2 linked regions of the Drosophila melanogaster genome follow. The protein of the gene in region 1 interacts with the protein of each later gene in a pairwise test. Each region holds a gene or a part of one and is shown in the gene's direction. Other genes may lie near its edges.

What was found.
Region 2: the proteins of grnd (region 1) and Cpr50Cb interact in a two-hybrid assay, tested with the Drosophila melanogaster proteins (one large-scale study listed by BioGRID).

Annotation. Positions count from the first base shown.
Region 1 is NT_033779.5:18,482,193-18,491,540, forward strand, and holds grnd (grindelwald), read left to right. Parts: upstream 1-3,224; 5' UTR 3,225-3,775; coding exon 3,776-4,010; intron 4,011-4,433; coding exon 4,434-4,742; intron 4,743-4,824; coding exon 4,825-5,006; 3' UTR 5,007-5,829; downstream 5,830-9,348. Other genes in the region: CG10283 (uncharacterized protein), read right to left, coding at 1,702-1,777; kon (kon-tiki), read right to left, coding at 5,882-7,589, 7,654-8,557, 8,628-9,291. UniProt on the Drosophila melanogaster protein: Acts as a receptor for TNF-cytokine egr. Plays a role in activation of JNK signaling and is required for egr-induced apoptosis, including in wing imaginal discs during development. May also play an egr-independent role in cell proliferation.
Region 2 is NT_033778.4:13,790,526-13,799,839, forward strand, and holds the start of Cpr50Cb (cuticular protein 50Cb), read left to right. Parts: upstream 1-4,251; 5' UTR 4,252-4,413; intron 4,414-4,579; 5' UTR 4,580-4,650; coding exon 4,651-4,680; intron 4,681-9,314.

The DNA of each region.
Region 1 (9,348 bases):
ACAGCCTTTTTGCATTTCTGCACTGTGCGAAAAACTTATCGAATTCGGTGGTCTATGGTTCTTCAAATAGCCACAGTTTTTTGAAAACAATTAGCAAACATATTTTTAATATAAACCTTATTTAATACATTTCTGAGTTCAACGAGATTTTCTTTACACATAAAGAATAAAATCTTTTCTGAAAATATTATTATTATTAATCAAGCTGGAATTTTATCTTCAAGTATTACTTATTTTTTCCTACCCTATTTGCGCTTCTATTGTAATCATTATTTTACAATATATATAATTAGACTAGTATAATGTGTATATACTTTTATAAAACAAAATCTTTATAATGGTAGATAACTGATTTTTCTTCAGGTGCATTCATTAAATGGAAAGTGCTAGCGGCAATCATTTTTTGCACCTCCAAAAAGAAGAAAATGAGTATGTATTTTCCCTTTCTGTAGCGGGGATCGCTCGGCTTCCCCTCAATTGCTCTAAAAGAAAACTATATAAGAGCTCGGTGTTTGTTTATTTTTCAACTGAAATCTCTTCTTCACAGCTTTGTCCGCTTTCGGTCGTTGGTCTGCGCTATGCGGTTTCTTCGGCTGCTGACTGGAAGTCTTTGTTTTTGTTTATCGTCTCATGAAGACTTTCAAAACCCCCCAAAAAATGAGGAAACTCGCCAACTTCTTGTGATTGTTACTGGGAGTGGAGAAAGTTTTATTCGGCTCGCGTTTTCTGTGTATTATTTTTTCTTCTTTGGGCAATCTGTTTCATTAGCATAACAACAAATATTGTTCACATAGTAGCCAAAAAAGAGATTTGCACAACAGCCAAATCTTTGTCATCGAGCATTTCGTATTCGCTTTCAATTAATTGAGCTTATTCAAAGAGGTGAATAAGCTAGCTTTTCATGTTGTAACATTTTTTCTATGCAAATGTTTTGATTATTACATAAGGTCAAGTAGAATGCGATAAGGGAAAACGTGCTCGATATGGCTTGTTTACATCTGAATCAACAGAAAAAAACTTATATTTAAGCCCCAAGGCGCAAACGACAGTGGAGAAGTTCTGAGAACTTGAGTGTTTGTTTTTTTTTTTTGGCTGATGTCGGCATTCAAAGATATCGGATCGGTGGAATTAATGGGATATGTATATTGGAATGGGGTATGAAAAGCGTTAGAACATTTATAATTCGTGATGTCTTGAAAGAAATGCCAAATTGAATAAAATGTGTGGACTAAAACCTTTTATATTTGCATATATTAGACAAAAATATTTGTTTAATTTCCAAATTTGATTTATATTCAATTTTGCAAGAAGGGTAAAGACAATATATATTTAATGAACTTTTTGTGAAGAATTCTCAACGAAACAATGGGCCTGACTTTCTTTATGAATAAATGGAAACAATAAATGACAACAAATACAACAAATTTGTTAAAAATTAATTTGATCGCTAGAGAGGTCATATCGTTAAAGAAATACCAAGTCAGGGGAAGAAAACGTTGAAGAGGAATTTTAAAAGACCTCAAATTAATCACTTCTATGTGGTGCTCATGCCCCCCCCGCCCCAATTCCAAAGCCCCTTCATCTCAATAGCTACACTCAAACCCAATCAATTTCCAATTATCCAAGGCCCCGTACGAAATTGTTCATGTTCAACCAATTTCGAAATGGTTTGCTTCGGTTCGGTTCTTAACCCATGCTTACCCTCATTAACATGTCCTGATCGGGGCAGCGCTTCCTTTGGTGGTGCGGCTGCTGTTGTGGTTGTGAAATTATTCATCTCTCTCCTCCTCTCGCCACCCTTCTCTTTCTAACAGGCTCTGGCTGTCTCTTTCGGTGGCTCAAATCTCTATAGAATATCTGTATCTCGTTCTAAAACAGGTGTTTAAATTGGGTAGCTCAAGGACGCGCCTTCCACTCCACTGATTTTTAATTTATGTTGGTTTACTTGTTGAAGCGGGCTGGCAAAATAGATACATAGATGCGGCGATACAGAGCGTGAGTAAACTATATTTTCATCTAATTGCGTCGCTCTCGGTGCAACTATTTCACTTTCACACTTCCACACGAGATATAATGCTTATAATTCCACAATTTCCACCATCAACACGCGCGCAACAACGACAGCTGCAATTCAAAATTCGATTTGATTTAGGTATTGTATCCCAAAGATACGCAACGAACCGGCGGCCGTCGTTCCACGAAAGCAGCAAAACAGCTCATTCAACAGCGAAAGCCGCTCAGCGAATGGATGTTGTTTGACTTGGCCATACAGTCCAGCTAACTGGAAGACACAATAATACTGCAAGCGGCGCTGGAACTGGAAGCCGATACAAATGTATCTCGAAAGCGGCACTGCAATGGAAGAGAGAATAAGAGAGAGGAGAGAGAATAACTCAAAACAGTGCTGCCAAGTTTCAAAAAGATTTCAAATCTAAATACAAAAAGTTATAATTTTACTATTGATTTATAAATTCATTAAACGGTATATATGTACATATGGTTTTTTATTATTATTTAATTTTCCAAAATGAGTTGGGAGCAACGAATTTCAGTATTTCTTTTATTTATGTATATGGCATTTGCTGTTTAGTAAAGACATACACCATTGCGTTAGCTAAGCGAGGTTTCAATCCTCAACAAATGCTACACTTAAAAAATTCCAAAATCATATTTAATTAGATAAAAATTGTGTAGCTAGAAACTTGTTTATAAATATCACGACTGCTAGTTAGTTGTGAAAGTAAGGTATTATAATTAAAATTTAAATAATAGGTAATGTTGTAAAAAAAACTTTAAACGTATAGTTCATATTGGGATACTGGGAATTTCAATAAAAGTTATCTTAAACATATTGTCGTTTATTCATATAAAACTTTATTATTATTTTAATTGATAACTTGGGTAATAAAGTGAGTGAGCAAGTAGTCTCTATAAAATACTTCTTGAGGCACTACCTTCTCGTTGTTATTTATTTTTATAAGTCAAATCGCAGCCGAAATTTAAGAAACTGAAGCCGGGTTCAAAGTATGCCGAAGTCGGGAGTATTTCACTCATAGCGCAAAATAAACAGTCGATCGCAGACACACAAATACTTGTATTACTTGCCACAGCATAGATATACAGATACTTTTGCATCTACAATCGACGTGAAAAAGGTAAACAAAAGTCAAGTCACGGTGCGAATGAGTGTGTATTTGAGATAGATGCCTCGGTGCGAGTGCTGAGTTGTTGGTAACAGCGAGCGATCGCGGCATTCCAGTCAGTAACGAGTTGAATGTGGCTCAAAACGCGTCGCTGAACGATGGCTAAAAACGTTTAAAGTTAAAAAGCGTATTAAATCATATAATATATAATATATTGGTGTAAAAAATACAGAATTAAACCTAATAATTAAGTGTCCGGACATCCCCTAGAAAAATGTGTGAAAATGTTGAGAAACTAACCGGAATACTATGAAAACTGCTGTAAAACTTGGCTAAGATAAACTCGTTTGCACCAATACACATGTGATTATACGTATAAGGGCAACGCAAAATACTCAGACTCCAGAAGCCAGCAATTAAAAAAGAAGTTAGTCAGTTAGCGTCTGGGCCGCGTTACTGGTGTATGAATCATACTTTGGATACGTTTAAAAATAACAAAACAAAAACCTTAAAACGAGGAAAAAGTTGTAACAGTGCTAATGTAAACTTCGATCAAACTTAGCGGAACGAGCTCGCTACAAAACCAAATACCCATAACAAGTAAATTAAGCACACATTATAAAATACCTCAAATGTCGGTCAGGAAGTTGAGTGCCCTATCGCTCTCCATTGGTGGAGTTCCGTTGATTCCAAGTGTTTCCTTGGTAGCTGCGGCCAATGGAGAGAGTAGGGATTGCCATGGCACGATCTGTCATCCGGTCAATGAATTTTGCTATGTTGCAACGGAGAGATGTCATCCGTGCATCGAGGTCTGCAATAATCAAACCCACAACTACGATGCGTTTCTGTGCGCCAAGGAATGTTCAGGCAAGTAGAATTCAAAGATTTCCAAAAGATTACCTCAGATTAACTCACGATCCATAGGGTAATTTGGCGGGTTCTATGCAAGTTCAGGTTTTTCCAGCTGGACTTAATTGTATTTCAATTACAGTTGCTTCAGCGGGTGATTAACTCATCACCCATGAGTTGACTAAAATAGGGGGTATTTTAAAGATTTAAAGAATGTACATTTTTATAATAAAAATGATTTGTTGAAACTAGCTTTATAATAATTTTTTTAGTGTAAAAGATTTGTAAAAGTTGTAATGGCAAGATAAGGCCAGTTGCATTTGCAATTTTTATCTGACTATGTACAACGAGTTATCAAAAACGTTCCCGTGTTTTATCAATTATTATTTACTTAAAACGATAATAGTAGCGATATTATTTAATTTCTTTATCAACCCACAGCTTACAAGACATTTGAGCCGTTAAAAGCCGAGATGCTGGACATCCAGAATACCCAGCAGCTGATCCTCTTGCTGCTGACTATCCTTCTCGTCCTGATTGCGCTTCGTTGCGCGTTTCAGTTCCTTCGATGGCTGATAGGCAATCGGTGCTTCCAGAAGCTGATGCGCCGTCTCCAATCGAAGGCCTACCCTCATCCGGCAACTGCAAATGGAAAGGATCTTAATGCTACCACCATACAGAATCTGAATGCCATTAACCATCCCGGCAGCGACCTTGAGCGGGCACAATCACAGATCTACAGTGTGGCAGGTAAGTGTAAGGATCTACCTGTCCGGGTTTTTCCAATAACACTTCCCAATGTACACATTATACCTGCAATGATTTATTACAGGTGCTGCCGAGGGTTCCGTTGTGACTATGACAACGCCGGTGAGCACTCGCTATCCGGCGGAAAACAGTACCACGCCCACAACGGTTATGACGGAGATCGGATACGGATACGATAATCAGGCCATGGTCGTAACGCCGGTTTCCGAGAAACCCTCAGCAGCGACGATTCCCGTCGCTTTCTAAGGCCATACAAGTACTTGAAAACTCTTACTTCTAAATCAGTCCAGCGAAAGCAAAATGTGCACCACATTAAAACTAGTGATATTTTTCATAGTTATTAAGCAAGAAGTCTTCTATCAATATGGAATATATACGCATATCTGTAGAATATAAACCTTAATTAATAGGTTTATATATGTTGGGACATATTTTTGATAACCCAATGTGGCCCTGAAAACTTATATTCGATCTGTATGAAATTATATGTAAAGGAACTTTTTTCTCTTTACTTTAATATTTTCCTTAAAGCAACGAAAATACTTACAACATCACAACTATGAACGAAGAGACATATTTATAACTGTTAAGAAATATATTTATAATGTTCAATTTATTATCATGTTAAGTTTTTTATGTGGAAAAGTTTTGTAAATGGTAATATGGGGGAAAACCAATTCATTCGCAATCACCACAAACGTTTCTCAACACACTTCCATCCGGTTAAAATAATTACGAATGCGAAATAAATCTTCCTGAAAATTTTTTGAGTTTTGAAATAAGACACGGGAACTACGCTTAAAAGTATTGTCATTTATTGTAAAAAGTATTCCACGTTGGCAAACACAATTCTAAGGCTAAGTTAAGTTGGCTTTTTGAGTATAACTCTTGTTCTCGTCCTTAATGCTAATCGTTTGTATATGACACGCCAGATATGTATGTGTGCTTGTTTCCAAACTATAATTAATGTTTTCGTATATAAAATGCTTCACTTTTCCTAACGAATCTCATAAATCAGCCTTAAACGTAAGCTTATATTTAAATAAATAACCTAGGACTAATTCCGATCGAATTGGAAACGCTTGTATTGATCCCTTTATTGCAGAACATCCTTCTAAACCTTACACCCAATACTGATTCCGCCTAAGTAGTGGATTTGTTGGCGGGGCCGAGGGCGGTGAGCTGACCGATCCGGAAATACTTTGTGGCACAGAGGCATAGCCAGCAAAATCATTCGCCATATCGCAGGACGAACTCCAGGCGTCGTGCTCCATGTGATAAGGATTATATCTCTGCGGCAGCATCATTTGCTGCGGATCGCACTGATCGTCCGTCTCCTCCTCATCGGGATCGTAGTCGGGATACTCATGTTTGTACGACTCCACGGGTATTATCTTGCAATGGGGAATATTGCTGAAACCCGGTAACGGTGTTGAATTTCCTGTGGCCGGCACGGAATCCGCCTCGGAACTTGCGTAATGGTGGCCATGATGATGGTGCAGATGGTGTTGCGGACTCACAGAAGTCAAGTCTGGTGGACACGGTAGCGCCGGCGGCTGATCCTTGGATATATCTGCCTTGTGCTTTCTCAGTTTCCTGATCTTTAATATCAACAGCACGATAAGCAGGCATATCAACACGATAAAGATGGCACATCCTATGGCTAAATAGTTAATGGATAATCCTGCACTGCCCAAATGAACCGTCTCGGTTTCCTCAACACGACTTCTATACTCAATCGATACGGTGGCCTGTGCCGGCTGAACTGTTTTGATTAGCAATTGATAATCAAAACTGTCATGATCAGCTTCTGTTTCCTCGACCGATTCATGGGGCACAAAGTAGACGACGCCACTTCGAAGTTCTTTATAAGAGAATATATTCGTGGATCTATCACTCTGGCCATCGGTTGTCAGTCCCGTGCTTCGGATTATCTTTCTGATTTGCCCAGTTGATGGCATTCTAGTGATCACAAACTTGGGGTTGAATTTATTTAGTTTCAACGACAAAGGATTATCGTTGTCCAAAGAGGTAATAAGCTTTATTTTACCACCCGAGGATTCAGCTTCCTTCATTACTATATCATTGATTTGTATTACAGGTTCCACCTCCATTACCACATCGACCTGAGCAACATAATTGGTGCCCGGAACATAGGCACTCACCTGGAAGGAGTCATTCGATCGGTTCAGGTCTGTTTGCATATAGCTTATCTGTGATGTTTCCAACTGTTGTTGCGTGAACCTCAGAGTTGGTTGATGTTTGTACACTATAATGCCAAAAAGCGGCGAGTTTGTGACGTTGTAAGACAACCTTTCCATATGCACATTTGTGGACACTCCAATATGATCCAATCTCATTGGAGCAGTAGTAGCTCCTTGCTGAACCTTCACTGGTGCTTGCATTGCTGACGGTTGCAGATGAATAGAATCTATTTTAATGGTAAATATTTCGTATGCAGGATTTGATTGCCCGTCGGATACGGTGAAGCAAAACGTCGTGGACTGTGGCATTCCAAAGTGGACATATATAATGCGATCGTTGTTAATATCAGCTTGGGTAAACTGATTGGAGAAAGCTAATAGATCCTCAGGGCGTCCATCGTTTGTGATCTTTCTAAGTACCCCCAAAGTAGGACCACTCATCACATCGTATATAATTTCTTCAGGAGGTGTATCTGCATCTTCGGTTAGCAAATCATTTCTGGTGATAGTCCGATTCTCACCCTCAACGACTGTCATTTGGGGCAGGTGGGTGACCAAATGGAAGGGTTGATCGTTAATGGGGTTGATGGAAACGGGAATTGTCAAATTGCACAGAAAAATGTTCCTGAAATGAAAACGTATCTTATTACAATAACTGTTTACTTAAGTGAAATTTAAGGAAGACTCACCCTTGTGTCAGGTAAACCGACATCAGTATAGTATCCTCCAAAGTGTCCGAATGATCGTGTATGTAGTAGACTTTTTTGGTAAAGAAATCGCTTGGGTGGTATCTCTGCATATGCTTGAACTCATGACCCAGACCAATATTGCCGTGTGTGGGTTTTTGGATGGCTTCTATGAACAACTCAGGGTTATTTATGCCAGCTTTCGTTTTCAGATACTCCAAAATCTTTGAGAAATCCAACTTAATAGGCACCGAACCGCCTTCGTCTACATTGAGCTTATTAACTGGTAGAAATCTGAGTAAGCCTCCTGAGGAAACCGATATCTCAATGTTGAATTTCTGATTCAATAGACGATCGCTTCTTTCAGCAACCACATCGAAGTAAAATGAATCATTGGTCCTGAACTCCATGATAACAGCTGTGTGTTCATAAAATATATGCCCATTGTCTACATCGTTTTGGGTAAATTCACTGACTTCCTTCGTGAAACCATTATCTATAAACTCATTCACAATGCGACCCAGACTTGGGGGAACTGTAATGTTATATCTAATCTCTCGTTCCTCATCTGAACATTTAAAGTGCAAGTAGTCACGCAGAATTTGTTTTTTGGTTAATGGAAAAACATGCAGATTTTCATTGTGCTCGGCCAGAATTTCAATCGGCTTGATTTCAATATTCAACATTTGGGTGGTGGTGTTAAATAGCCCATCTGTTACCACAAAGGATAGTTCGTTTCTCCTGGAGTTGGAGTCGTGCATGAAATATATTTCTTCGAGGTTTATTTGAGCCTGGGTGAAATGTTCGATTTTTTGGTGAGGTGCTGACTTCCTTGCCAAGTAGCCGCCGTATATGTGATTCACCACAAATGTAAGATTCTCCGGTGGAGTGTCGTAGTCTTGAGCCACTGAAAAGCATCATAACAAAAATGAAACATTTAAATTTTGAGTTAGGTATACAATAAATTTTCAGCTTACACAGGTCAGTATTTTTGATGACATAGCGTCCACCGTTCCACACCTGCAGGCCCGTATTGGTGACCATCATGGGCTCCTCGTCGTTCACTTGAACCACAGCGAATTCCAGCTCGAAAGGAACACTCTCCTTGTTCCTGGCCATGGCCACCAATGTAATGCTATCGGTGGCATTTTCGCTGCCATTGTGCACATACTGTATGCTACCCTGTTCGAGTTGTTTTTGAGTGAATCTTTTGACCTTTGAGTTTCCAGCCAAAACGTGACCAGAGCTCGGTGTAATGGTTACTATGTACTCCAAAATCTTTCCGCGGTAGTATTCCGAATAAGGCTGTATATCAGTTGGATTTAGTTGGACAGTCTTTCCCTCTACAACCGAAATAATATTTGAGTGCATATATAGCTTTTCAGGTATGATCACGATCTTTATCATCAGTTGCCTTAGCCACGTTATGCCATTGGTAACATCGAACACAAAGTAATCTGTAGACTGGTTAACTCCTGCTTGAATATAAAACATTTTTTCTGTATTCACAGAAGACTGATCGAACACCTTGCAGTTGTATTCATCGTCGAAGGACATGGACTGCATTTCCAAATAACCGTGCATGGGAGAAGATGTTACTAGGAAGGTAATGTCTCCGGGGGAAATATTGGGATGAACCACCTAAAAAAGGAAAGTTAAGTAATGAAATTATAGGTTTTCTGATACGAGCATATCTAC
Region 2 (9,314 bases), on another chromosome or scaffold:
CCTTTAAAGCTTGTACATTTAAGTGAATAATGAAATACAGACTCTATTAGGGAATCGTACCTTAAAAAAGTTCCAGGGAATGGCATCAATTGATTAACCTGATTCAGGGCGCATTTAATTGACTACAAGTTAATGCCACTGCCCGTTGGACATGTGTCTCAATCAGCTTCGTCCTTGTTCCGATGTCCCTCGTCCTCTGTCCCCCGTTTCCGCTTAACTTGTTCGCCGTCTGCTGCAGTCAGTCAGATGCCGAATGGACTGCAGGTGCCACCCACCCACAGAGTTGCCGGAATGAATCCGTATCTGTTGTTGAGCTTTTGTATCCGTGCTCCGGAGAAAACACGTAAACAAGTCAACGCAGGTTACGGCTCAATCGCTCAAGATCTCGGGATGTAACCCAGAGGGAAACTGAAGCTGAATCTGAAGCTGAAGCTGAAGCTGAGGGATTTTTTCCCTCCTTTGACTGACTAAATAAAAATTAACAAGGATAAATGATGCGAGCAGGCAGGCGATGTCGGGGAATGCTGGTAATTGTCTAGCTGCCAGAGTTGCCATCCTCCATTGTAACGCAGTGTTTTTGCGTGTGGGTGGGTGGGCGTAAATTGATTAAATGCAAAATTGGAATATGCAAATGCAGCCCCACACACACACTGACAATGGGCGTGGCCAAGGGGCGGTTGACTTGGTCTGAGATGTGATTTATGTTAGGTGCAAAGTTTTCCACAACTTTTTTCTGCCTCGAATTCATTCTTCTTTCCTCAGGTCTTATGTTTTATCCGTTTTCTTTTTCTTTTCTGTGTGTGTGTGTGTATGCTTTTTTTTTTGAGGGTGCAATGAACGCAAGTGCAGAAGATGACGATGACAATGAGGATGCACCAGTTGGGGAAGGTGTGAACGCAGAAAAAATTCGCTTAATTTGTCTAAAGAAAAGCCAAGAGCATGAAAATTTCCATTAAGAAAAATGGTGGCAAGTGTGGCAAGTGACAGGGAAAGCTCGACTTTAGCCCCAAGATTGTTGCAGGAGTAGCAGCAGCATAGCTGGAAAAACTTATCACAGTTGCTCGCTGGAATAATGAGAGCAATCAACAGGAAACTCCGGCAAAGAGATCAAATCAAATCAGAAGGAAGTGCCAAAAGGAGATGGCCGTAATGAAAGCAATCAAAGAAGCCGTTAGCAACTTTCAGGCGATCATTACACTACAAGTTTTTAATGAGCACAGCAGAAATTAATACAAGCAGGAACAGTACAAAACAAAATTTAAGAAATATATTATGCAAATTATTTTACCTGTACTTCGAATGCCAGTTAGAAAATCGATGATCGTGGGGGAAATGCCAAGCGAATCGGACGACATTTGATGCGCCTTCACCGCGAGTCTATCGAAAACTCCATTTATTCCATCAGAAGTCCAAGACATTTAGTCTATAAATAGCAAATGGTAAGAAACGCGCCTCCGCGCCGAAATAAATGCAAATCATCCGTCTGGACTCAAAACTGGAAAATAAAACAAAGATCGCCGCGTTTTCGACCACTTCTCACACCAAATTCAGAGGGCCATGGCGGCAGCAACATCAAGTTGCCGCTGCAACAAAAAAAACACCGCGCTTAGTTGCAACAATGGTCGCGACAACACTAACAATGCCAGCGATGGCAGCAGCAACAGCAACAACTGCTGCAGCAGCAGCAACATCCAATGCTGGTGGCAATAAAATGCGGCAATTACATAGTTGGCTATTCTAATTCACTCATTTTTAGCTTGAAAAAGGTGCGCCTGACTGGGGCTATTGGAATTTATTTTGGTTCTACAGCAACTGCAACACTAAAAGCAGCAACAGCAGCAGCGGCAGCAGCAACAACGTGCAACAAGCATCAACAGGTGATTCGCCTGAATGTTGCACGAAATGGGCAAAACAAATTCGAGGAAAAAATCATCTTAAATGCTTCTGCCGAAGAATTTGAGTCTGTTCTTTTAAATGTTAATTTTTTTTTTATTTCGTCTTCCACTTGCCTGCAACAATTCAATAAAGTTTAAAATGTCAACAGCTGGGCGACAGAAACGAGAAAAAATAAGTGAAATAATGCACAAATGGCTATTGAAGCCCACGAAATGTTTGACTAAGTTTTGCTTCCGTTTCGCATTGCTTTGGAGCCGGAGCCCTCGAGTGTCCACTTGATGAATTAAAAGCGGGAAATTTGCAAAACTTTATTACTTTGGACGTTTTGAAAAATGATCGAAATGCCGAAGAAACCGAGACTGCAACGGTGGCAACAGCTGCCGGCCGAAAGGCAATGACAGCGAAACAAAAGTTGCCCAATTGATGTCAAGTTATTGTTGAACAAATCAAAAAGGGAATTTTCAGCGCGGCCTTATATAATATCGAATTCGCCCCATCACACTGCTCTAATTACATTTTAAGTCGAAATCCTTTCGTAATCGCAGCTACCAACGATTGCACTTGATTTCGAGAGCGTCTCAAAAGAAATTTCAATTTGCCCCCAGAGTTTGCGATATGGGTAACAATCCCAACAATCCGAACAATCGGACCAGTTGGTAGTTTTCAGTTGCCAGTTGGCCCCGATTGTCGGCGGGTATTATGTTGTTAAGACATCGTTTTGACAGTACGTTCGCCTCCGCGTGAAGAAGACCGTTTGAGATACACACACACCACATACACACACGCGCGCACATGTGTATCCGCAGCTCAAGTGTCACGGAAATCTAAAGTTAAAAGTAACCAAAAGTTGTTCAATTACTTTTCACAGCGGTCCATTGAAGATTGCCAGCAGGTGTAAGCGGCGCTGATAGAGGTAACATCTTAGGTACACGAAATGTTACCTTGGAAAATGGGTACCAAACTAATAAAATCTAATAAAATTGCTTATAAAAATAAGATATTGAGATATTAGAGTATCTTTAAGATTGCAGCTATTGAAAACTAATACCATATCTAATATTACAAATATATAATATTATATTAATAATAGTTTTAGTCATAGCCCAGTGTAATTGGTAATAACATTTCGATTTTGGTACAAGATTTTCGCATCACTGATTATAAGATGGGTTGATTGTAAGTGTAGCTATTTTCGATTGATTGCTCCCCATAATAATTTCAATATCTAATTTTAATATCGCACGCACGCACACATCGCCACCTCGCAAGTGGTCAATAAAAATGTGAAGAAACTCTGAAATCAGTCATCGGATTGCTTTTAATTGTTATTTAATCTCGGCTCGTACAGAGGCGCTGTGATACATTCAAGGTTAATTGGTTATGGGATGGGATTTGAGGCCTGACGGAAGAAAAGGAGCCATGCGGTTGATGTTGGTTGGAAGGAGGAAGTTGGCCCAAAGGCACTCGACACGTCTGCCAGCCTTGTGCAATGGCCAATGGATGAGTTTCGGGGCCTCGGCTACGGATCTTTGGCATGAGCCTCACGTCATAGATTGCATTTTGGCAGAGGTGCTGCGGGAAATTGGGACGCCACATGAACACGTTTGTGCAGCTTGTGCAATTTTCCCCGGGCAACCGCATCACGTACTTCTCACCAAACTTATTCTATGTTCTGATGCTTTCCCAAAGGCCAAATGGCAAAAAAAAAAAAAAGAAGAAAAAACAAACAAAAATAAATATATAGATATTTCGAAAAAGGGCGACTGTATCTTTGGAGGCTAAAACGAAACCTATCATCTGACATTCCCAGTGACATTTTCGTATCGTCTCGATGGCAACTGCATCGCCCGAGGGCCCAGACTTCATAAAAGCTTGGCTTAAATATCAAATTTGGCCGAGTATTTAATGAAGTCATTCGGGGCGTTGCAGGCTCTCCACTCGAACTCATCTTGTTATACATCCGCCCGAGCTTCATCATCATCGTGCCAGCCATTCATTTATCATCTCGTTACCCATCATCGTAATGATCGTGCCACGGCGATGATCTGCAACATTTTTCACCACCTCAACACCAAGACTTGGCCAAAACGGTGAGAGCAACGCTGCGCTCTCTTTGGGCCATTCTGAGAGACTCGTGGATGTGGATGCTCTTGGCTCCAGCTCCACGGAGGCAGATGATCTAGAAGTTAGGCGCTAGACTTGCCTCAATTGTTCAAACCGCTTTTTCGTTACTTTTAGGTGCAGTTGGCAACGCGAACGCCGCTGCTACCGCCGCTGCCGCAGTCGCCGTCGCCGCCGACGTCGCTGCCAGCGTCTTTGAGCGTTTATTATAAAAAGCAAGCGCATCTCCATTGTCTAACCTAATTCAAAACGTTCGTGTACTTCGTGCGGTTGTCTAGGAAATCAATCTAGCCGAACCTAAAAAGATAAAACCACCTCCTCTTTAACTGAGGCCCCCTCCTAGTTGAGAAATCCAACCGGTGATAAAAAAATAAAACCCTCCCCCGCCCGGTGAAAGTAAGAGTTAATACAACTATTGTGGCAAGCGAAGGACTACAAATTAAATAGTGTGCAATAATCATAAAAATAACACAAAAGACACTCGATTAACTCGAAACAATATAAATGAAATAATTGACAACTCTAATGAATTTAATTTAATTCAATTCAATTTCAACTTCAGCCAGCGGCGTTTGTGGATACACTACTTTTTGCCATCGTCTGTGAACGTAAAATCGAAACTCAACTAACAAAATGATGTCCTTCAAGTCGTTCGTCCTGCTTGTGAGTATTTATACATACGTACATAAAACAAGGACATGTATTTCTGGGCCTGGAAAAAAAAAACATAGCTAAGCCTACATAAATCAGTTGGCCAAACAAATCATATGAGATTTCGCAGGCGTGTCCTTTGGCTAAAGCGAAACTATATATGTATGTATGTTTGCATGTATGTGTATGTGTGTGGAAAGGCCAGCAAGCTAAGCTTGTTATATGTCAAATTTGTTTATCGCTGGCAGGGAAAAATGACCCGTGGTCACTCAGTGTCCTTTTTCGTCTACAATGTCATTTTTCTGCTGCGGCTTTTGGGGAAAGTTTAAATGAGATTTGCTAGGAGAACTGAAGGCAACTACCCATCAAACTGGTTGTTTCAAGTGCCTGGCAAACTGTTTGCCTTCCTTTTTTTTCGTTTTTTTTTGGTAACACTTGCCGTCAATGGCAACGAAAATGATTGCATAACTTGCCACACGTCTGCCACAGAGCCTCTCATCATCATCATCATAATCAAAACCCAAGTCCACACACACACACACACGAAAGTCAAGTGGCGAAGGGGCCAAAGTAACCCCGCCGAATCGAACAAATTGCAAATAATCAAAGACACTTAAGTGCTCCACTCCGCTCTGGTTAATATATATATATATATATACATATGTACTTGTACGTACTCCTCCATGGATACGCATTCAATATTTGGCAACATCTGCGTTTGCCAAGTGCCACGTAAAATACGCCCCAAATCTAAGCAATACTCCCTGATTGTTCCTAACTAAACACTTGAGTTTCGGAGAAGGCTAAAAGGTTGTAAGGCGGAGGACACATGTTGGTAATATATTTCCCCTTTCGTATTTAGGCATCATCTGAGGAAAATTGCAAACCTTTTTGCTCCCCTTGAACAATTGCAAATATATAAGGCTCCAACTTGACTTTATTTTGTAGGCAAACTTTTCTTAGCTGGTGCTAAATTGACACAAGTTTTTTTTCATCAAATTGTTGAAAAATATACTTTATACTTTACTAATATAGTTTCGTAAAAATATTTATATAATTTGTTTCAAATTGCTGTAAATTGACACAGAAAGAGTTGTGCAACTAAGAAATTTCTAGGTGATCCAAAATCCTTTCTGTTACCTATTAATTTACACATTTCGCTTTGGAAATTCTCCATATTCTCACAATTTTATTGTGAAATTACAGTATTGAATACTTTTCCTGGAAGTCCAGAAGTTAACCCGCAATCAAGAGCACACTTGTAAACTGCGAAATACTTTCACTTGTTCGCCATTGTTAAAGCATTTTGAATCGCGTTTTGGGACGACGCCCTTAAGCAGGCAACAAAATAAAACAGACGCGAGTTTCGCTGGCTGCTCCTTGATGTCCTTTTATTTTTTGTAACTGGGGCGTGTTAAATTGTTGGTGCGACACTTGGATGCAATGCAGGTCCAGACGGCAGACCACACTGTCTGGAATCCATCCAATGTACCTCCGCCCATTCCGCGTTACGTGAGCACACAGGAGAAAAATTAGATTTCTTCAAAAACCAAAAGTGTCTAAAAAGATTGAGATATAAAATTATATTAATAGGTACTCAATGAAAGCCATTCAAATGTATGAAGATTTTCAAAGAAGACATAATCAATATCTAATTAAAATTTAATTGGTCATACATCATGTAATTACTCGAATGAATTTTTACGATTAACGTAATCGTGATTAATGGACGAGCATAACTAGTAGTTAAAATAAACGCAATATATATGCAATGTTTGAGGCCAAAGTGTTAGATCTTAAATGTTCTTCTATTAGCCATGTTTTTTTTCAGCGGTTTTTCTCGCAGTGCACTCCTCCATCTCTGATGCGTCTGGTCTGCCAAGCAGATAACTTCCAAAAGGTACACCAGACGATAGCAAAGGAATAGAGTTTGAGAGCAGAGTGTAGAACTCCAGCCAGACGCGTGTAATTTGCCGCTTGTAACTTTTTGACTTTTCACCAGCGATTCTCCATTTCCCCAATGCCGCTATATTCCCCTTATTTTCTTCTCCTTTTTTTTTACCATTCTTGTTTTGGCCCGAACTGGGCGAATAACAGCAGGCACGGAAGCGTACCAAGCCAAAAATAAAAACCAGGAGCCCAACCACCCACTGCCACATCCGCCCACCAAAAGGCAGACACTCGATAGACAAATGGCCGCTGGCCAGTCGAGTGCACGGGCTTTTGAGAACATCGGGGCGAGCATGTTTTACATGTTAATTTCAGCCCGGGGGAGACTCAACTGGCCAACTACCCAGCTAGCCAACTATAGGGTACAGAGTACGAATACGTCGAGCACCCACACCAGCTAGTAATGCCCAACTGCTGCTGCATATTAATGCCCATGATTCCAGCTGCTCATTTTCGCACGCGAAAATTGCAGAACTGGTGGCAAAGAATTCGAGAAACGATTGGTAGCATTGACTGGCATTCATTCGGGCACGCTTTTGAATTTCAAATGACAAACCTAAAATATTCACAGTTTGATATTTGAGTCCGTCCGATGATGGTGCTGCTGCTGCTGCTGCTGCTGATGATGATGATGAGCTGGCAAAAGCCGAAAGTCGAAGCTGCTAATTCTGCATTCTGCATTCTGCATTCCGCACTCTGCATTCTACAAATGCTGAATTGTTGCATTCGCCGGCCGCAGCGAATGGGCAATTGTGAATGCCGGCATGGGTCAATGCAATGCTGCCTCCGATTCTGATTAGAGCCGCCTGATTATGGCCAATATATCGCATGTCTGGCCAAAAGTCTTTCATTGGCTCATCGCTGCACTGCTGGCGATTCGAGTGTAAGCGATTGCCCAATGAATGTTGGATGTGTGGAGGGTATTTCAAAGGGATATTTGCATTTCGTTGGGCTCCTGCTAAAATTCTACAAATTATCAAATTATCAATAGAAGTTGCACATCCGTGAATCCAAATATTTCAAACAACAAGCCCATTATTATTTTTATAAACTTCCAATTTATAGCAGCGTATTCCCCCATTCGTCATTTCGCACAGGCTCTACCCTTGCATTACAAATTCAATTTTAATTGAAATAATTTGGCAGATTTGCCAGATTTCGCTTGATGCCGATTGGCATTGCCTCAAAGCTGATCCGTGCTTAGGTAATTGAGCCCGGGGGTCGTCGAATGGGCGCTCAGACCCATTCTTCTGCCTTGGAAGTATGCAATTTTGCGGCTTCACCGATATTTGCTGTAGCTTTGTGCGGTTTTATTGTCTTTGGCAATGGCTCGAATGCGGGGGGGAAAAAAAATCCAAGCGAAGAAAACCCAAATGGCAAAAAATTAATGACGCTTGAGCAAGCGGCAAGTGCAGCAGCATATATGTAGTATGAGTTGGATGAGGGGCTTCTGCGGGGAAATGGTAACCAGCCAAGCATCTGCGCCTTTGTGTGTGTGTGTGTGTGTTTGTGTGGTAATCTAATTAAATCGAAATTTCAGCTGATTACAAAAGCCCAGCCTCCGCCTCTGAATTCGCTAATTGCCCAACCAAAACCAGAGCGTCCAACGTGGCGTATGCGCAATGTGAATAAGAGGCATTTCTCCTCCGTTTCCCTTAGGCAAGGAATTTTTAATTGCACTATTCTGGCTGCAAGTGTTATTTCGTCGGCGCTTTTGTGGGTCCACAACAGCTGGCAATTGGAAAATTAGTTCACTGGGGTTTTTAACCGAAATTCTAGCATTTAAATGGCAGAGAAATAGTTCTGGAAAAAGTTGTACTTGGTTTTTAGTGTGCAACAATTTCGGTAGTTGTGGTTTCTGCACAACAATTTTGGCTTAAAAAAAGCTCATAATTTTCATTCGATTTGGATTTTTTGTTATACATCAAATGGTTATACCAAAACTATAAGCATAGAAACTAAAAACTAATTAAATCCATAATTCAACCATAATACCACATTTACCTAATAATCGGTTTTTATGAGACAAAAAAGCTCCCACATAGTTTTTATAACATTTTAAGTAATTGCACATGAACAGCTTGCAAATGCATAGTTGGTCATAAACAACTACTTGAAGTATTCGATCGTAGCATATAATTTATAAGTTTTTTCTCACCCGTTTTTTGGGTATTTGAAAGGTTAATATCTTTATGGACAGCCGGCGGCTTTTGTGCATTGAAGTGTGTTATTTAATTCGGGTTAAATAGGGTTAATGTAGTGTAGAAGAGGAACATACTAGCTGAAGATCTGCCGATAAACAGGCGAAAAGAAATTGACTTATCACAGGTGAATCCCCAAGGAGGCCCAAGTCGTGAGACAAGCTGGCCAACCTTTGATCTTTGGCATTGTCCTTGTATCCAGCGGGCACGTGACTCTGTGACAAACAGCTGGAAACATTGGGTGCAAATTGCACAAGGAAAGCGCAAAGAGCTGATTGAAATCGAATCTGAGTTGCCAGCAAGTTGCAAGTTGCCAGTTGCTAGTTGCAAGTTGCAACAAAAGACTCAAGCGGCGAACTGAAAAACTGCAATAAAAGTCATTTCCCATTGCAAGCTCTCTTCTCCCGCCGCCGCCTGCCATTCACTTGGCCCATTAACTTTTATTTTGCCAAATTTGCATTTCAATGCCCCCAAACGAGGGGGAGAGCAGCTTGG